Drosophila melanogaster: one gene and its partners. The gene in region 1 interacts genetically with each later gene. Each region holds a gene or a part of one and is shown in the gene's direction. Other genes may lie near its edges.

What was found.
Region 2: of Sirt1 (region 1) and foxo, changing one suppresses a phenotype caused by changing the other (phenotypic suppression), as found in Drosophila melanogaster (one study listed by BioGRID).
Region 3: of Sirt1 (region 1) and spn-B, changing one suppresses a phenotype caused by changing the other (phenotypic suppression), as found in Drosophila melanogaster (one study listed by BioGRID).
Region 4: of Sirt1 (region 1) and polo, changing one suppresses a phenotype caused by changing the other (phenotypic suppression), as found in Drosophila melanogaster (one study listed by BioGRID).

The regions. Positions count from the first base shown.
Region 1 is NT_033779.5:13,163,832-13,170,084, forward strand, and holds Sirt1 (sirtuin 1), read left to right. Parts: upstream 1-1,732; 5' UTR 1,733-2,159; coding exon 2,160-3,369; intron 3,370-3,548; coding exon 3,549-4,810; 3' UTR 4,811-5,720; downstream 5,721-6,253. Other genes in the region: DnaJ-H (DnaJ homolog), read right to left, coding at 1-372, 485-931, 994-1,062. UniProt on the Drosophila melanogaster protein: NAD-dependent histone deacetylase involved in heterochromatic silencing. Mildly suppresses the heterochromatin-mediated silencing phenomenon known as position-effect variegation (PEV). Required for epigenetic silencing of the polycomb group proteins.
Region 2 is NT_033777.3:14,055,328-14,059,970, forward strand, and holds the start of foxo (forkhead box, sub-group O), read left to right. Parts: upstream 1-1,617; 5' UTR 1,618-1,697; exon of another isoform or gene 1,698-2,101; intron 2,102-2,413; 5' UTR 2,414-2,780; intron 2,781-4,643. UniProt on the Drosophila melanogaster protein: Transcription factor involved in the regulation of the insulin signaling pathway. Consistently activates both the downstream target Thor\d4EBP and the feedback control target InR.
Region 3 is NT_033777.3:14,326,128-14,330,134, forward strand, and holds spn-B (spindle B), read left to right. Parts: upstream 1-1,923; 5' UTR 1,924-2,083; coding exon 2,084-2,138; intron 2,139-2,198; coding exon 2,199-2,360; intron 2,361-2,421; coding exon 2,422-2,765; intron 2,766-2,818; coding exon 2,819-3,283; 3' UTR 3,284-3,481; downstream 3,482-4,007. Other genes in the region: Afti (aftiphilin), read right to left, coding at 10-154; ATPsynE (ATP synthase, subunit E), read left to right, coding at 1,164-1,409.
Region 4 is NT_037436.4:20,307,968-20,314,001, forward strand, and holds polo (polo), read left to right. Parts: upstream 1-1,686; 5' UTR 1,687-2,342; coding exon 2,343-2,441; intron 2,442-3,081; coding exon 3,082-3,306; intron 3,307-3,367; coding exon 3,368-4,150; intron 4,151-4,215; coding exon 4,216-4,644; intron 4,645-4,711; coding exon 4,712-4,906; 3' UTR 4,907-5,499; downstream 5,500-6,034. Other genes in the region: SCCRO4 (squamous cell carcinoma-related oncogene 4), read left to right, coding at 127-380, 442-649, 780-859; alphaSnap (alpha soluble NSF attachment protein), read left to right, coding at 5,826-5,917. UniProt on the Drosophila melanogaster protein: May play a role in regulating both nuclear and cytoplasmic aspects of the mitotic cycle. Regulates localization of the augmin complex during mitosis by ensuring its location on mitotic spindles.

The DNA.
Region 1 (6,253 bases):
GTTGTGCTGCAACACTTCACCAGGGTACGTGCGCAGACAGACGTTTCGTCCATCCAAGTGCTTGAAACAATGCGAGTAGCCGCACAAGGCCTCCGTGATGTTGATCTCCAGGTCTCGCATGTACAGATTGGCATGGCGGCGCTGAAAGATTGGATGTTCCATCTGGGAGATGACTACAATCAGATCCCCAAATTCGCCGCCTCGCATTTGGTGGCCCTCATTTGCGAAGGGAACTTTTAGCATGTGCGGTGCTCCTCGCTCCACAACCAGGTCCCGCTTCATCTTCTGCTCTACGAAACCACTGCCCTGGCAGGGACTGCACTTCTTGTCGTCCCTTATGGTGAAGCCCCTGCCATCGCAAGTCGGACAGGTCTGCAAAAAAAAATAATTTAAATAATCTGCTCCGAAGTGTGGTATATGGGATCTCCACGGATGTGTGGTCCGCGGTGTGCATTCACTACAACTACAATCAATTCTTACATACCGTATCGAAGGGGCTGAGACCCATGAAGGTAAATGCGGCCGCTCGTCCAGCTCCGCCGCAGGTCTCGCAGCTCTCGTGCGCTTCCTTGGGACCGCCATCGCCGTTACACTTGGAGCACAGCTTCTGGCGATTGTACTCCACCTTCTTCTTCATGCCGCCGACGTAGATCTCCTCCAGGGTCAGCTCCACTTTTACCACGACTTTGCCATTGCGCCTGCCCCGACCTTCGGACGAGACTCGATCGAAGGGGAACCACTGGGCGAAGAATTCGGAGGCATCAGAGAATCCCTCGGCGCCCTCTTGCAGGCCCTTCAATCCATATCGGTCGTAGATGCGCCGCTTCTCGGGATCGGACAGCACTTCGTAGGCGAAGGATATTTCTTTAAACTTGTCGCCCGCATCGGGATTCTTGTCTGGATGGAACTCTTTTGCCAATTTTCGGTAGTTCTATTGGTGAAAAGGTGAATACAAACTATTTACCAACATATCGAATTGGAACTGTTACATACCTTTTTTATTTCCTCATCAGTTGCATCCGGAGCCACTTTAAGAACGTCGTATAAATTTAGGTTGTCCATTTCCTATTGCATCCCCAGTCCCCCTACAAACTAAAATATTTTGTACATTGTAAGTGTACGACTTATTAAATTATTTAACAATGTATTTATGACAATATTTTCAAGTCATATTGGCTAACAAGTATGCCCAAGTTCTACCAAAAACCTATAATTTTGGGGAAAGTACCAAATAAATACTTAAAATCGCAGCTTTTTTGGGGAACAGTAGACACTTGCTGGAACGTTCTGGAAATCTGTTTACACATTTTTGTATTTAACAGCTTGATGGAAGTTTTTGGACATATGAACTGCATATTATCAATACATCAATTTATAATACTACTATGAAATGTGTAAATATTGGACAAAAAAATTATTTTTACTTAATTGTTTAAATATCGAGTAAATTTGATAAGTAAAAGAGTGCTAAAATTAAAGTTCGAAGCATAATTTAAAATTAATTTTACTAACTTTTTGACAAATTATTGATATATTTTAAACAGTTTTTAAAGAAATGGATTAAATTAGATATGACATAAGGCAGTGGCCACTGTAGCAACACGTAATCACCCTCAAAAATCCCAAAAAATACTAAAAACATACCGTGATGAGTCATGCTGGCGGCACTTTCCATGCAGAAACGCGTTAGCACTTTCCACACGACGTGTCAGGGTCCCACCCGAATCACGTCTGCCAGCCCACATACACACACAGGCGCAGCTACGTGTGCCATCTTGCTTTTTTCATCGGAAAATTTTCCAGAAACTACGCTCGAAAATTACGAAAAAATCGCAACCAAATGGTGTCGAAATTTTTTTAAAATTTAAGTTTCGTGCATATACGTGAAATAAAGTCGGGTTGGTTGAAAAAATCGCGGCCAAACGATCGCTGGAGAATTTTTTCAATCAAGCCAAATGGGTGCGAAGCTGACGACGTAAAAATTTTTGTGTGTACCAACGAAAGAGCGGAGAAAACGGACGAGGCGAGAGCGCAAAGCGGAGAGACCGAGGAAACACTCGCGCAAGAAGAAGAAGAGCCAGCAACAGCACCAACTACGAGAGTTTTCTCTCCGTGAGTCTGTGTGTGTGCGCGTGTGCGCGCGCTTGGGTTCGGAAAAAATGATGGAAAATTACGAGGAAATTCGCCTGGGCCACATTAGGTCTAAAGATCTGGGCAACCAGGTGCCAGACACTACGCAATTCTATCCGCCAACTAAGTTTGATTTTGGCGCGGAAATTCTGGCCTCAACGTCAACAGAGGCAGAGGCAGAGGCAGAAGCAACAGCAACAACCACAGAACCAGCAACAAGCGAACTTGCTGGCAAAGCAAATGGTGAAATCAAAACAAAAACATTGGCTGCCAGGGAAGAACAAGAGATTGGCGCCAATTTGGAGCATAAAACCAAAAATCCCACAAAGTCAATGGGCGAGGATGAAGATGACGAGGAGGAGGAGGAAGAGGACGATGAGGAGGAGGAGGAGGACGACGAGGAGGGAATCACCGGAACGAGCAACGAGGATGAGGACTCCAGCTCAAATTGCTCCTCATCCGTGGAACCCGACTGGAAGCTGCGCTGGTTGCAACGAGAATTTTACACAGGTCGTGTGCCGCGCCAGGTTATTGCCAGCATTATGCCGCATTTCGCCACCGGCCTGGCGGGCGACACCGACGACTCCGTGCTGTGGGACTATTTGGCCCACCTGTTGAACGAGCCGAAGCGGCGCAACAAGCTGGCCTCAGTGAACACCTTCGACGATGTCATCAGTTTGGTCAAGAAATCACAGAAGATCATTGTGCTAACGGGAGCCGGAGTATCCGTCTCCTGCGGCATTCCGGACTTCCGGTCCACCAATGGCATATATGCGCGATTGGCCCATGATTTTCCCGATCTGCCCGATCCGCAGGCCATGTTTGATATCAACTACTTCAAGAGGGATCCACGACCGTTCTACAAGTTTGCCCGCGAGATATATCCCGGCGAGTTTCAGCCCTCACCCTGCCATCGTTTCATCAAAATGCTGGAGACCAAGGGCAAACTGTTGCGCAACTACACACAGAACATCGACACCCTCGAGCGGGTGGCAGGCATTCAGCGAGTAATCGAGTGTCACGGCTCCTTTTCAACGGCCTCGTGCACCAAGTGTCGTTTCAAGTGCAACGCTGACGCCCTGCGGGCGGACATATTTGCCCAGCGAATTCCGGTGTGCCCGCAGTGCCAGCCCAATAAGGAGCAGAGCGTGGATGCCTCGGTGGCCGTTACTGAGGAGGAGCTGCGCCAACTGGTCGAGAACGGCATCATGAAGCCGGATATCGTCTTTTTCGGCGAGGGTAGGTGCCATTTTTATACAGATTTATTATATATTATCAATAGCCTTGGTAAAATAAATGCAAGAATTTCAAATTCGACGATCAAAAGAAGTGTTTATTTAAGAGATAAACTATTGAAAATACAAAGTAACGCTATTTACCATATATCATATTGTGTTTGCTTTTCATATTGCCAACAGGACTGCCGGATGAGTACCACACGGTCATGGCCACCGACAAGGACGTGTGCGATCTACTGATCGTGATCGGCTCCTCGCTGAAGGTCCGACCTGTGGCCCACATTCCCAGCAGCATACCGGCCACGGTGCCGCAGATTCTTATCAATCGCGAGCAGCTGCATCACCTTAAGTTCGATGTGGAGCTGCTGGGCGACTCCGATGTGATCATCAACCAGATTTGCCACCGGTTGTCGGACAACGATGATTGCTGGCGGCAGCTGTGCTGCGATGAGTCAGTGCTTACCGAAAGCAAGGAGCTAATGCCTCCGGAGCACTCTAATCACCACCTCCATCATCATCTACTTCACCACCGCCACTGCAGTTCAGAGAGCGAGCGACAGTCGCAACTGGACACGGATACGCAGTCTATTAAATCAAATAGTTCGGCGGACTACATACTAGGATCAGCTGGCACCTGCTCGGATAGTGGATTTGAGTCATCTACTTTTAGCTGTGGAAAGCGTTCCACTGCCGCCGAAGCGGCAGCCATCGAACGTATTAAAACAGACATACTGGTTGAGCTGAACGAGACCACAGCCCTAAGTTGCGATCGTCTGGGCCTGGAAGGCCCTCAGACAACGGTGGAGAGCTATCGCCATCTTTCCATTGATTCCTCCAAGGATAGCGGCATCGAGCAGTGCGACAACGAAGCCACGCCTAGCTACGTGCGACCCAGCAATCTTGTTCAGGAGACCAAGACAGTGGCGCCCAGCCTGACGCCCATTCCACAACAGAGGGGAAAGCGACAGACAGCAGCCGAGCGTCTGCAGCCTGGAACATTCTATTCGCACACCAACAACTATTCGTATGTGTTTCCAGGAGCCCAGGTATTCTGGGACAACGATTACAGCGATGATGATGACGAAGAAGAGGAAAGATCACACAATAGACACAGTGATCTCTTTGGCAATGTGGGGCACAATTATAAGGATGATGATGAGGATGCATGTGATCTGAACGCCGTTCCATTGTCACCATTGCTACCGCCTTCACTGGAGGCTCACATAGTCACCGATATAGTGAATGGATCCAACGAACCGCTGCCCAACAGCAGTCCCGGCCAGAAAAGAACCGCCTGCATTATAGAACAGCAGCCAACGCCCGCTATTGAAACGGAAATTCCCCCACTAAAGAAGCGGCGACCAAGTGAGGAAAATAAGCAGCAGACCCAAATAGAAAGATCTGAGGAGAGTCCGCCTCCAGGACAGTTAGCAGCAGTGTAAACGTAATCTTAGCCCCTGCTAGTAGTGTAGTATTTATTTTAAATGCAATTCAAGCCAACTTGTAAACAGAGAAGCTGCGAAATCGTAGCCGAGGGCCATGTTACCAATTTCATTCCCCGGAAAGGTACTGGAATCGGAAACGGTAAACCGTTTACTTGTTATTTATTTAGAATATGAGAACACTTCAATTCCCGGTATCACGAAGTTTTCAAGAAATGAAACCGGATCCACTAGTTTACTCAATTCGAGGCTTTAGAGATCTGACCCTCGTTGCTTTACCACCAACCCCTTATGCCCAATCCCGTTTTGATATTTTTGAAAAACTCTTAGTTTATTTATTATCTCTCTTTTTCAAAACGAAACGCTGTAAATGTTAGTATTTTATTATATTAAGTTGTTATTGAGGCCTTTTTAGACAAACTAAAGAGATAAGCGGAAAGTTGAAAATCCTTTAGAAAGCAGGATTTCTTTGTATTCAAAGAGAAGCAGCGCCTCAACTTTAAATCTAGTTCTAAGCGTAACATATTCAAAACTATGCAAATGCAAACGGAAAAATACGTTAGTTTTAGTTAAAAACTAGACACAAACACTCTGTATATAAGCACTCGCCCCTAATTTGTATTGTACATGATTCTTTTTCTACTTTTTTGTGTTATCTCCTTACCATTTTATATTTCTATCGGTTATGGCAACTATTTTTTAACATTTATACACTCGCACCCACATCAAAATGTAACAGCGCATGGATTTCAAAATATTCATAAGAGTTGGAAATTTGGTGTGCGTGTTTGAAATGTTTATTCGAAACCTAGCATAAATATATAGCCACCAAACGCAGTGTAAACATAGCAGTAAGAATTTAGTCTATATGTCTTAAAAGTGTATTAATATCCAGAATATAAACCAATCTAAAAAAAAAAAAAACAGAAATGAAAATGAGTTTTGACTGTAGAGCACATATAAACCCAAAGAAAACCAACACATATAAAAGTTAGTCGGCGATATTTCAATACTTGCAATTTTGAATTCGGTTTTATTAAAGTATCTTGACATTAGCTGGTACCTTAGGGATATCTAAATACATATTTTATCATTAAGGTTGCCTTCTTCAAAAGTTTGCCTTACACCAATAATGCCCTCCTTGCAGAGATGTGTGACACCGGAACGAAGTTAACCGAAGGAGAGAGCGGCTAGTTAATCGTGGATCTTACAGACTAGGAGCGACTTCCAATCGCTCCGTTTACGACTGAAAGTTGAGGGCATGCTGCCTGGGTTATTTGCTTGCGCTTGCTTCTATATAAAATATGATATTCTTGGGTCCTATATAATCGGCGACGGCTTATTTTATGTACACTGTACAAGCCCATGCTATGCAATCTCCCCATATATTCATGTGAATACATGTGTTGCATGCATTGTTATTACTCTTATTTTTATAAAAAT
Region 2 (4,643 bases), on another chromosome or scaffold:
AACTTAATAGCATTCTAAAATATATATGTATCTTTTGGCGGACTTATCTTCTTGTTGTTCTCGCATTCCAAAATCTCTATGTACATGCAAACTTTTATTGTCATAACTCGGGACTTTGCAGACTTTGAGGCCTATTTAATAGAGCTATAATCTTACAACAAAAAAAAACTAAAAGAGCTTTTTAAGCAATAAAAATATTCTGAAAAATTACAAATTAACAAAAAATTACCCAATGAAGCCTGCAAATTTGAAATCTTTAAGATCCTAGATATGCCAAGATGCACCCTAAAGTCCTTAACTCATCTCCTTGGCTCGTTTCTAATCCCCCCTCTCGAGGGATCGAGACGATCGCATCGGGTCGGTCTTTAAGTTTGGATGATCCATAAACTGTTGGTTTCTCCGTCCTCAGCGTCTAGACTTCATTAGCCGTGTAATGTTGCGGAATTTATGTGGCAGGCACATTAAAATAACACCGATACACACTCTCATGGACGCGAACGTGTGTACAAGTATAGAGATATCGGGCCTAGGCGAAAAATGAAATTAAAAAAAAAAAAAAAACTGGCACCGGGAGGGGCTTATTTTTCGGTGGTCGGGGATGCGGGGGACTTTGACCATAAAATACATGCTCCCAAAAAGCTCGCACACTGCAAGAGATGCGGGGCACTTCTGAGTCCCATATTCATATGCACAAATGTGCATTGCTGGCATTATCAGTAGAATGCAATTTCGGGAAATTTTCCATCGCATCACGAGACAATGAACGTAAGAGAGAAATGGAGCCTCAAAGAGGGAGGGAGAGAGAGAGCTTGAGTGAACGAGCGAGCGACAATCGCGAGATAACGGCTGCCTTATCAGCAATGCCGACCGCCCCATCACCCCACCCAAAACGCCCAACCACCACCCACCGCCGCCGTTCCCTTTCCTCCATCGTCGAGAATTTCGAGTTCAGAGCAGCGCGACCGAAATGAAAAGAAACAATTTAAATTCCAAATGTATAAAATAGGTAAACTATGGCTTTTATTTATTAATATTGACGGGGGCACAAAGGCGGTCACCTCAATAGTGAATAACATGTTTTTTATAATGAATACTTTTCAAATTGTTATTAATATGCAATGACGTCTTAAATGTTTCACTGCAGCTGAACTTTATTCTTTTCATTAAAACAGTCACCCGTTATTAAAAATAAATAGATTAAGTTTTATATTATTAAATTTGTAAGTATTGAAACAATTCCTTTTTTATTTTATACGAATTATCATTTAGTTGGGGTTAATATCCCTTAAAGAGAGAAATTTGTATGCTTTAAGATTTAAAATATCTATTGCATTTATAGCTATAGCTATAACTTCTCTTATTTCACGCAGAAAATACTCAAATAAAACATATCGATTTGGCATACCCCACTAATTTTTTGGCCCCAAGTGTGTGAGAGTGTGTGAGACGAAGCGCGCCACAAACATAAAAAAGCGGTGAAGTGAGCGGTTGTGGAACGTGAGTGGATGCTAAGAGCAAGCTCTCACATACGCGGACATAGGTCGCACACACACACGCACAGACCGCCTTTTTGCGCCGCCGAAACGAACACTTTTACGAAGGCGACGGCGAATCAGTTTCAGTTGTCAGTTCGCATCCAACTAGAAAGCAGTTAACGAGTAGTCTGTGTTTTTTCGCTTGCGGTTAAAAGCCACGAGGTCGTTCATCGTTCATCGTTTTCCTTTTCAACTTCAAGCAAAGCAAATATAAACCAATGCAAAAAACGCAGTGATCTTTTGAGGCCCAAATCGTTTGGGGCCGAACACCGTTGATTCTAAAACGCAAATGTAGAAACAAATCAAGAAAGTGGAAAATAAATATGTTTCGCTTTCAAAACATGTGAATGTGCCGAACTCAAAACTGAAACGTAGAAGGAACGCGTTCGTTTTTTACATACGACAATCGTATAAAATAAGAGAAAAGCTCCAAAACGTATTAAATAGCGATGCTTGGATGATCTTCGTAGCAGTCACGTTGTACATACAAATACATACATATGTACCTACTATATGGCACATAAAATACGTTACGCACACTAGTGGCGAATAAAAAGCGAATTGGAGTAAGCTCCGAAACGTGTTTATATTAAAATTTTTTACCCATTTGAACTTTAAACAACTTTTCGACTGCGCCGCACGGTTTTCATTGAATTCTCATACGAATTCCAATTAAGTGTTGTGTGTGCGTCCAATTGGCATGAATTGATGACGTGACGTGATCGCTCTCTTCGCTCTCTCCCTCTCTTTCTTCGGCACACACACATACACACACTACGCTCTTTAATCGCGCCGCTCTCTTCGCGCTCTTTTTATTTGTTTATTTTGATTGTTGTTATATATATATTCTAATTTACCGTTTTTACAATCGTCTTTAGCTTAAGCAAAACCGCCGCCCAGCAACAACAAGAAACCCATTTAATGAGTGTGTGTGTGTGTGAGCAGAAAATTATGCCAACAGAATTCTAAAAAATATATATGTATATATTTAAATAACCACTAAAAATCAAGAAATCCGCACAAGTTTCGCTCAAAACAACAACACAATCATATATACTACCCATAAAAAAAAAACAAACCCATAAAAAAGTGCAAAGCAACCAGGAAAATAAAGTAAAACAGTGCCAGTTAACAACAGCAAACGGCGATCAACAAATCCCACCGGCAAAATCAACAATTTTTTAAATCGCAATCAACAAGGAGCAACAAATTAGCCAGCTATTTCCCATTGCAAACATTTGGCGGGTAAATATTATTAACAATTACGAGTAGGTGTACTTGATTGAATGAAAAATGTCATGTTTTTTAAGTTCCTAAATTCGATTCGAATCTAATCGGCAATTGATTGAAATATTCTAAAAGTCAAATTTTGTTTCGTCACGCGATTAAAAAAGTAATTGAAGCAGTGCTTTCCTACACATCAATTAAAATTTAAATTAAATGGTATTTTATGTTGATTACAACAACATTTTTTTTAGTCGCCACAATAAAATATTCATTCTTCCGTGAAATATTTCCAATATAAATTGCTATTGCTATATTTATAAAAATAAGCTTTGATAAAAGTTAAGAGGTTTAATAGAAACTAGAGTTAGGTTCTTTTATTTATATTGGTGTTTAGAATTTTAGATAGGAAAGCTGGACTTTTTGTTGTGTTAAAGTAGTCACATCTATTGAATTTACGACCCAAATTTTAATACAACCGATAGGGAATGTGATTTATAACCTTATTCGAGTAATTCCTAGTTTCACTTTCAAGATCAAAACGACTAGAATCATAAAGTCGGTCACGTTCGGCGCTGCAGTGTCGCTCCAATAGATGATCTTTCAGTTCGTGTGGGTTTTGATTAGTCCGTTTTGGTGTGTTACTTGTCATGGGAGTGGGCAGGGGAGATCTTAATTAGAGCAGCGCTGATAATGGCTCTAAAAATAGAGCCCCAGCGCCACACTGATAGCAGAGCTTGAAGCGTGTGTCGTTTGCGTGGAGCTCATTTCTTTCGTTCTGTGTTTGTTTGCTCCCCCGATTTTCGTATGCGATCCACTAAGGTCGATTTTGTTGCCATATTTTGCCAGCGATCTCGTATACGCACCGTTTTCAGATGCTTTTGAATATTCTCTTGACATCAGTATTGACATTGAAATGTGATTAGGTTTAATTTTCATAAATGGGTTGATTCGCCACTCGGTTAGCTGTCGAAAGAGGCTTTTTTATTCCCCATTTACAGATAAGGCTTTTATCTATTCGCAATGTGCCAAGGTACAACAGCAGCTGATGGCCCAAAAAAAGTGTACATATAAGCCTATACACACATCTGTATAGTCGTCCTATGTGCTTGCGATTGTGACTTTTATCATATCTTGAGTGTTTGCTAGCCACATTGGTGGAACGTGCCAGTTGATAACAAGAAAGTGTGCGAAAGTTTGTCTAAAAAGCTGTAATTGAAGCAGGGAAACCGGGAAGTCAATTAATTTTGAGAGACAACATTAAACGTATTCTTCGTATTCTAGTATTCTTCAAGAATTAGTAAAGCTCTTACTAATAAGCTCGTTTGAGAATGACGATAAGTTATATCGATAATGTCGATTTTACCGATAACCGAAAAACGTTAGTAATGGAAATTTAATGATCATTAAATGAGAGCCACTACATATTGTTTTGTTTAGAAAGATATAGTCGGAATACCAGTAGTTATTTCTTAGTATTATTTTGTGATTTTTAAATATTCTACTCAGATGTGTAGAACTTTTTTTCGAACGCTTCTTTTTGCTTAATTTATTTCGTTTTTCGCGCCGACCCCAAAAACGTTAGTAATGCAAATCGATTGCGTTTGCGAAGTCAGATGATCCCATCCATGATTTCCATGCGTCAGTTGTCCCAGCTGTCAATCGAAGATCGCCGTTTGGGGGCTCTACGTTCCTGGTTGACTTCGCCATCGGTCGAGTGGAATCGAATCGTTCGTTTGCTCTTTAATTATTGTAATGAATTCAATAAACATTGCAGGGCCTCTGCCGTTCATTTGCATTTGCGTTCGCACTCGCTGCATTCTGAACTATTGCACATTGCCTGGTCGGGCCTCTCCTTCTCTATATAGCGATATATATGTATAT
Region 3 (4,007 bases), on another chromosome or scaffold:
TAAGCTTGCCTTTCGAGCTGCTGACTAAGCCAAAATCTGAGTATTCGTCACCCTCGTCCAAATGGATGGTGGATTGTAAACCGGAATCGTCGTCTTCCTCACCAAAATCGATGGGCGGGGGGGTGCTGCAGAGCAGCGGTGGTACATTCACCATAATGCCAGCTGCAAAATTCAGTAAAAGGATCCCCTAAAATTCACTTCCTGCTTCAAGAAGAACAACAAAAACGCTGGGAACGGTTCGATCTTCTATCTCTCTCGCTCCACTTTATCACTGTGTGTGTGGTGTGTATGTGTGACGCAGGTGTGGAGGGCCTGCAAGTGTGTGTGTGTGTGTTAGCCACTCAAGGTCTGTGTTGGAATTTTCTTGTTTGCATTTAACACGCGTCAATTTTGTTGTGTCTCTGTATTATGTCTAATTGTCGCCTTATTGGTGGCTCTAAAAACAGATTTGCCGAATTTGCAAGTCGCGTTTTATCTGCAATTAGCCATGTTTTCCAGAAAACAATACTTTTTCCTCTGCCCACAGTGTGAACGTTTAACTTTTGGCCAACCGACAGTGCTGAAAAACGTTGCGCAACATTGATAACATACAAAATTTGAATCTTATCTTTTTCAATTCCCATTTTCGATTTAAATCATTATCCATAGTTCAGATAGAATAGTTATATTAGTTATATTTCTATAATAGATTTTTATTCTTTCCAATTCTTTTACCGTTAAAATTGTATTTGAAAATTATTAGTAACAAGAGTAAAATATACATGAAAGTCTAGGCTGCAGTATGTAATACGTCAAATTTTGTTGGGACACTAAACAACAAATAGTCGTCATAAAGGCTTCTTTTAAATTGTTATGATATTTTCCACAATTTCTGCATACTTTTTTAAGCTTGCTGGCAACGCCGCCACCGTACCAATACAACTATCGATAGCCGCCTGTCAGTTTTGACAGCTGTTTTAAGGTTATACTGCGCTGCCGTTGCAATCGCTCCACCAATTTGGTAATTTTGCTTATTTAACATCAAATATTGCATAAAACTAGGAAAACCAGGAATCTGTAAAGTGGAGCGAGACGGGGAACGCTATTAAGGAAGTCGGATAACTAAAGTACATCCTTTTCTTGCAGTTCACGGTCGGACAATTACATAACTTGAAGAAGAAACCATGTCGCAGGCTCCCGTTCGCGTTTCCCCGCTGATCAAGTTCGGCAGATGGTCCCTGCTCCTGGTGGGCATTGCCTACGGCGCCGCCCACCAGAGCCGCCTGTCCAAGAAGGAGGAGAAGTTGCGCGAGATCGAGGCACAGCAGAAGGCCGTCCGTGATGCCAAGCTCGCCGAGGAGAAGAAGCGCAGCGCAGAGGCTGAGGCCCGTGCCTTGGCTGAGCTTTCGAAGCCCACTCCCAAGCACTAGGATCCTTCAGGATGCAACATCCGCAGTTCCCTTAGCTTAAAAACATTGAAAAACCACAACATTTACACACGAAGTTCGCCCAAAAGGAGGAGCATCATCGATAGTGGAGCCACCATCTATCGATCACTGACTATCGTTTTTGTGTTTTCCTCTGATGCTTGTGCAAAAAACAGAATGTTCGAAATTAAATGATTGAAACAAAACCATTATGTAAATACTCTCAAGTGTTTCGTGTTTGTGATTAAGTGGTGTTCACTGGAAATATATTTATATTAGCATAGTGTTTGGATAGGAGAGGATTGAGAGAATTTGAGAGGGTTTGAGCTCCAAATTTGACTAGGAAGTACATATAAATATTTTTGCAAATTGATTATCAATAATTTTCCTAAATTTTGTTTTAAATCTTTTTTGATAAACAACAACTGATAGTTTACCTTATTGGATGCCCACTGTAGTTGCCAGCTGATTGGCCCACTTAAGATATTGGCGCCAACAGCTGATTTCAACCGGCGTTTATTTACACTTTCAATTCGCTCGCAAGTCGTCGCATGGCTCGGCTGTTTGATCAATAATCCCCCGGAATACTTCCAATTCCGGAGGTGTTGAGACACCTTTCGTGTTTCGGGGAGCCATTATATCACGCAATCCCATCGAGGACATGCCATCGCATCGCGATGACAAACTTTCTGGATCAATTGCCCAAGCATATCAGAGAAATCGCCGAGCAGGGTAAGAGTTTTGGGGTTCCAACAACTTTATTCAAGAGCCAACTAAATTCCTGTACTCCAGTTAATGTTCTCGCACCGGAGGAGGTGCTGACAACTCCCAAGGTGCGATTCCTGGACACCCGCCAGCAATCGCTGCACACAATCGTGCGAAAATGCACTCCGGATGATGTTAGGGTGCTCAAGGATGCGGCAGCCAAGTGGCTGGCAGAGATGCCCCAGTCAGGTGATTCTCAGACTAATGTATAAGTAGCCTCTTGTGTTTAGTTTGCCACTATTTATTACAGCGGATTCCCTCTTCAAGCCGCTTGTCAATGTTAGATGGTCGCGGGTGTCGTTTGGATGTTCCGCTTTAGATCGCTGCACGGGCGGGGGAGTGGTCACTCGTGGAATTACAGAGCTATGTGGAGCAGCCGGCGTGGGCAAGACCCAGTTGCTTCTTCAGCTATCCCTTTGTGTCCAGCTACCCCGTGAGTTGGGTGGCTTGGGCAAAGGCGTGGCCTACATATGCACGGAGAGTTCCTTTCCGGCGAGAAGATTGCTGCAGATGAGCAAAGCCTGCGAGAAGAGGCATCCCGAAATGGAGCTGAATTTTCTGGGAAACATCTTTGTGGAAAATCACATTGAGGCAGTGAGTCGACAAACCAATTTGTAGCCATATGCTTATTTAATATTAATCCAAAGGAACCTCTCCTGGCGTGCGTTATAAACCGCATTCCGCGACTGATGCAACAACATGGCATTGGCCTGATCATTATTGATTCTGTGGCCGCCATATTCCGGCTGTATAATGATTATCTGGAACGAGCGAGACATATGCGTCGACTGGCAGACGCTCTGCTCAGCTACGCGGATAAGTACAACTGTGCCGTGGTCTGTGTGAATCAGGTGGCCACCAGGGACGGTCAGGATGAGATTCCCTGCTTGGGATTGCAGTGGGCGCACCTAGGACGCACTAGACTGCGTGTTTCCCGGGTGCCCAAGCAGCATCGCATGGGTGATCAACTGATAACGGTGCGCAAACTGGAAATACTTTACTCACCAGAGACTCCCAATGATTTCGCCGAGTTTCTTATCACCGCAGAAGGTGTGGTCAATGTTCCAGAGCCATCTGTTCCCAGCCCACCCGCCAAAATGCGTCGACTGTGATTGATTGAATTTATTCTGTTTATTTTGTTATCGTTTAATTTGTTGAATTTAAAATGTGTAACGGCGGAGCGTTCAATTAGCCATACGATTGTCTTATACTCCTGTTAAATTCAGCGGAATATTTTAGGGTTTAATAATTTAAATTTACTTAGTTGCCAATCAGGTTTAGGTATCATTAAAATATATAAAAACAAATTTAGAAAACATGCTTTTCTTATTTCTTTTCAGGAACAAAAGGTTTTCTGATGACCTGATTAACACGATAACGCAATCTTGTTTCAATTTTTTTTTTAAATAAATGTAAAGTTCCGATAAATTTAACCCGAGTTTAAGCCATTTTCCGGGCATAATCATCTTATTTGTTGCCTTAATTCCTTTTTTGTACAAACACTCAATAAATATGTTTCATTCAATTGCAATTTACAGGGTAGCAGAGCTTACAGGCCTACATACATAGTATAGTTCATAGTTCAAGTAGTAAAATCAATTTTGTAATCGCCTCGTATACATTATCACATGAAATTCTCAAAAGTTCAGATTACAATTTGCCATAGTTTACGCGGACATTTAAATGCGACATTTACAAAAGCCTAGCCTTAGCGTTTAAGTATATTAAATAAATAAAATACAAGCCTAAAGGTGAACGGATTACGCGACAATTAAATTACAATTAAGTAATACAACTATGGGGGTTTTCTTTCTGTTTAGTTTTATTTTTGTTTTT
Region 4 (6,034 bases), on another chromosome or scaffold:
CAATATAAAGATATCGGCAATCTTCTTAAATCGCTCAGGCATACCAAATTCTGGGTATATAAAGAAATTGCTTATTTATTTCTTATTGGCCCTTCGAAATACTTATGTAACAAACTGATTCTTCAGGTCCCGATGGCATGGAAAAATTCTGCGAGGATATCGGCGTGGAGCCCGAGAATATTGTGATGCTGGTGCTGGCCTACAAAATGGGCGCCACCCAGATGGGCTTCTTCAGCCAGCAGGAGTGGCTAAAGGGCCTCACAGAACTCGACTGCGATTCGGCAGCGAAAATGGTTGTGAAATTGGACTATCTGCGCAGCATACTCAACGATCCCAACTCCTTTAAAAGCATCTACAGATACGCCTACGACTTTGCCAAGGTCAGTAATCCATTTGAATAAACAATGAGCTGCGTTTAATAAGGCTCTGCATATTCCGCAGGACTCGGACCAACGGTGTATGGATATACTCACTGCCAAAGCCATGCTTCAACTACTTTTGGGCAAACATTGGCCTCTGTATCCACAGTTCGCACAGTTTCTAGAGCAATCAAAGTACAAGGCGATCAACAAAGATCAGTGGTGTAATATTCTCGAGTTCTCGCGCACCATTAGCATTGATCTATCAAACTACGATATCGACGGAGCTTGTAAGTAACACAAAGGAGCTAACTAAACTAAACTGAACTATGTATTTCGCAACCGTATTAAAAGAAGCTGATAAATAAGTTAAAATAAGAACTTGAAACGGAGCATTTAGTTACCCCCATCTTTTTGCAGGGCCCGTCATGCTGGATGAGTTTGTTGAATGGCTGCGCCTGCAGCGGAGTCAGGTCACCTCCACAACCGGATCTAGCTGAGAAAAGCTGTATCGAGTCGCCTATTTCTAGTTCAACTTTGGGAGCTCAGTGCGGAGAGGAGTTCGCGGAGACTGAGTCGGAGATGGGATGCGATGCGATGGGATGGGAATGCTGATAAGATAGATCGGCGAAAATTTAAGACATAACCGCAGGACACTCACTGACACCCACACCCACACTCAGATCCACGATCAGATCCACCAGCCACTTCTTCGGCCTAAAACACACAAGCACACACTCACCCACACGGAAACACAAGGCATTTTGGAGAGACTGCGTACACTGGCAAAGCAACCAACTATGAAACTAAACTATTGATAATATATTTAATGTAATAATTTATGTATTAACGACGACAACTAAGAACTAAAACCACATTTTTCTACTTATAAGGCCTCTTTCGCAAACAAAAACAAAACATTAAAATCAGAACAGCAACAAGAGCCAAAACGGGGCAGCTTGTAAGGAGTAATCCCAGAGAACGAAACGATGGCAATAACCAAGAGACCCCAAATAGACCTATTCTAGAACATACAATCCTCCAACCCAAGCGACCCCTTCGAGATATCAGCAGGCATAGTCAAAATCTAAACGGAAATCTACACCAATAGTGGGGTATTCGTAGTCGTTATTAAATCAATGTAGAAAAACAAAATCTGGGGATTATTTAATAAAGTTATTAAGTAAACACATTATTTTTTCTATTTACTTGTGTGTGTTTTAGTGTTGTTTTTTTTTTATCAAAATTATTTTTAACCGTTATTTGAAAGTTTAACTGAAAAACATAGAAGGCTTTGAGATAGCTGTTTCTAATAATTTCTTTTTAACACAAATCAGGATCGAAACCTGCAATTACAAGGTGGCAGTATTTTTACTCAGAAAACGTTTGCAGCAATTCAAATTAGAAAAGGGGCTCTACAATATAAAGTTGACCGTTGACTGTTTAGTAAACTCAATTTATGAAACCCTTTTGAAATTTCAAAAATGTAACGTTAGTTTTTGTAGATTTTCAAATAAATAGCGGTTAAACACAGTGTTGCGCAGAGCAATAGGAAAAAATATTGCGCTCAATTCGAACAGAGTAAACGCCAGTAGGTAAATTCAAAAGGGTAACGGCCATAGAATTTGTTGTTCAACACTCAACAAAATACCGCGATACATACCAGAAAGTGTGCGATAGCCAGCGAAACGGGCACACCAATTCAGCTGACGCTTCACGTCCAATTCATTTTGGCATTTAAAAAATCGAACGGTTTCGGCGCGTTCTCCGCTTTGTGCTTGGTTTTCGTGCATTCGATGGGCAAAACCGAGATTTGATCGCCGCTTCTCTTGTCAACCGTGTGGATCTGATCTCCGTTTCCGAGGCACTTTCAGCCGATCGCCGGTGGAATTATAGGCTCAGAACGAGGAGTATCGCCGCAAAACTCCAGGCGAACGCAAACGCAAAAGGGGCAGTCCGTAGTAAAGAAGAAAGGAGAGCAAGATGGCCGCGAAGCCCGAGGATAAGAGCACGGATATTCCGGATCGCCTCGTCGACATCAACCAGCGGAAAACCTACAAGCGCATGCGGTTCTTCGGCAAGGTGAGTCCGGATGCGGATTTGCAGATGCCCGGGATCAGATCAGTCGAAGGGATCACACATTTACCTACACGCACACATGCACGCACCCGCATACACACATATCCATTTCCACATCCCGGTTTTCGTTCCGTTTTCCTTGCTGATGAGCATTCCCTTGTTGTTTTTGTAGCTCTCTCCTTTAAGAGCAGGAGAGAAAAAGAGAGCCTGTGTGTGGGAATCTTGTACGAGCCTGTGTGTGTGTGTTCATGCAGTTGGCTGCTTGTTCAGTTTTTTTTTTTGGCGCGGCTTCTTCGAATTTACATAGACAAGAAAAGGAACTGTTGCAACTTAGTTGAACCAACAATTTCCTCGTTGTGCTATTGGCATATAAATATTTTCTTGGAAGGGGCTCCGCAGATTGGAGCAAAGGTACTAAACATGTGATTGTTAAATATAAATTACTAATTTTATGTTGCCAACCAATATGGATAAAAAGTTTATACAGAATATGTTTGTAAAATAGACATCAATACGTTTATTAAACGCCATTTACTTGAAAATACCTATATGCAAAGTTTTATCATAGATCTGTTTTTAATACAGTATAAGGTTATGTTTTTGTATAATGTTTTTAAATACAAAATTAATATGCTTTATGCAGGGCGGGTTTGCAAAATGTTACGAGATCATCGATGTGGAAACCGACGACGTCTTCGCCGGCAAGATCGTATCCAAGAAGCTGATGATCAAACACAATCAGAAGGAGAAGACCGCCCAGGAGATAACTATTCACCGCAGCCTTAACCATCCGAACATTGTCAAGTTTCACAACTACTTTGAAGATTCGCAGAATATCTACATTGTGCTGGAGCTGTGCAAGAAAAGAGTGAGTTTAATAGAACATCTCTGCAATATGCCACCATGACACTTACCTCTCCGACTTACAGTCCATGATGGAGCTGCACAAACGTAGGAAAAGCATTACGGAGTTCGAATGCCGCTACTACATTTACCAGATAATCCAGGGCGTTAAGTACTTGCACGATAACCGCATTATCCATCGAGATCTGAAGCTGGGCAATCTCTTCCTCAACGATTTGTTGCACGTGAAGATCGGGGATTTCGGGTTGGCCACGCGCATTGAGTATGAGGGCGAGCGAAAAAAGACCTTATGCGGAACGCCCAACTATATAGCCCCGGAGATCCTCACCAAGAAGGGCCACTCCTTCGAGGTGGACATCTGGTCGATTGGCTGCGTCATGTACACACTGCTTGTGGGCCAGCCGCCGTTCGAAACCAAGACTCTGAAGGATACGTACTCGAAAATCAAGAAGTGCGAGTACCGCGTGCCCAGCTACTTAAGGAAACCGGCGGCGGATATGGTCATCGCCATGCTGCAGCCAAATCCGGAGAGCCGCCCGGCAATTGGTCAGCTGCTGAACTTTGAGTTCCTCAAGGGCTCAAAGGTGCCCATGTTCTTGCCCAGCTCTTGTCTGACAATGGCGCCGCGTATCGGCAGCAACGACACCATCGAGGATTCGATGCACCGCAAGCCACTGATGGAGATGAACGGCATCAGGCCCGACGACACTCGTCTGGAGTCGACCTTCCTCAAGGCCAATCTGCACGACGCCATTACCGCGTCAGCGCAGGTGTGCCGCCACAGCGAGGACTATCGCAGCGATATCGAGAGCCTGTACCAGCAGCTCACTAATCTTATCAACGGAAAGGTAAGTACCTTTTGCTCTATATTAGTTAAATAATTTAAGACTCTTATACCTCTTCACTTCTTTAGCCGCGAATTCTGCAAGGCAATCTGGGCGACGAGAACACAGATCCTGCAGCGCAGCCGCTCTTCTGGATATCCAAGTGGGTTGACTACAGCGACAAGTACGGATTTGGTTACCAGCTGTGCGATGAGGGCATCGGCGTGATGTTCAACGACACCACAAAGCTGATCCTGCTGCCGAATCAGATCAACGTACACTTCATCGACAAGGATGGCAAGGAGACGTACATGACCACCACGGATTACTGCAAGTCGCTTGACAAGAAGATGAAGCTGCTGTCGTACTTTAAGCGCTACATGATCGAGCACCTGGTGAAGGCAGGTGCCAACAATGTGAACATTGAGAGCGATCAAATCTCGCGTATGCCCCATTTACACTCCTGGTTCCGTACAACATGTGCCGTAGTTATGCATTTGACCAACGGTTCTGTGCAGGTTTGTATAATTGTACAGCATCGGCATCATGTACATCTGGTCCTAATGAACTATCTATCCTTCTTAGCTAAACTTCTCAGATCACATGAAGCTCATCCTCTGCCCGCGCATGAGTGCTATAACCTATATGGACCAGGAGAAGAACTTCCGCACCTACCGATTTTCGACCATTGTGGAGAACGGCGTGTCTAAAGACTTGTACCAGAAGATCCGATATGCCCAGGAGAAACTTAGGAAAATGCTGGAGAAGATGTTCACATAAGCGTAGCCAGCCCAACTATCATTATAAGGCCGAATGTTAGTTTAACGTAATTCACGAATGCCCTGGCCAACTTCATTTATAGCCCAGAAAGTATCCTCCTCTCCCATCATCTTTTAAAATTGTAGTTCCCGTTCAAATTGATTTGTTCGATGTTTATAGAATTTATTTGTTTTTGCCCCTTCCCCTTCATATCGAAAATACTGCTTAAGTTATATTCATCGTCAGTGTTGGGCCTCCCTCAAAAGTAATTTAATATATCTGTTTAATGGTTTTCGTACACGATCCGATCACTTAATGCATTTTAAAGAGATCAAATTAAATGTTTAAACTAAGCAAACGTGTTTCGAAATGCCTATATTCACCGAGGTGACTGATAACAAAATTTTAATGCTGGATACATTATAAAAGTAATAGTGTAATATTGTGCGTTCGTAGTGCGCTATAGCGCCATTTAAAATAATACATAAGTTACAATACTGCTGCAAAGTGTTTAAGTGTACAAGTATATTCAACTTTGGCCAGAAATATCTGTAGCTATAGGATACAATATGTAAATGCTTTTGAACTAAAAGCGAATATATATAAAATTTAATAAAATATCTGAAAAAAGATTGTTTGCAACGTTTAGGGCAGCTGTTCTTAAAATGCACCTGCCAGACTGTAGGTGACGCATTCAGGCGGCTGAGAATTATTTTGAACGAACAAACGTTACAGCCCTTGCATTTCACAACACTGGCATGAGTTATTTGAGAATGCTGTGAGATGGTAACACTGGCACCACTTCTGCGGTCACACCAAGTCAGCATATTGATTTTATTTTCTCGAAAAAAGATCCCAATACGTACACACACTCGCTGAAAAGCCGAACAAGTCTTAAACTTAGATGCAATTAGTGCCGAGGCGGACATAAATCCTCGACATGGGTGACAACGAACAGAAGGCGCTCCAGCTGATGGCCGAGGCGGAGAAGAAGTTGACCCAGCAGAAGGGCTTTCTGGGATCGCTGTTCGGGTGCGTATCAAATCAAAGAAGTTTCGCAATTTCTGTGGGAGTGGGGAAATGGAGCTGTGTCTGGTCTAGCCTAGCATCTCCACAACCCCACAAGGTACTGAGCCCTATTCCAAATAG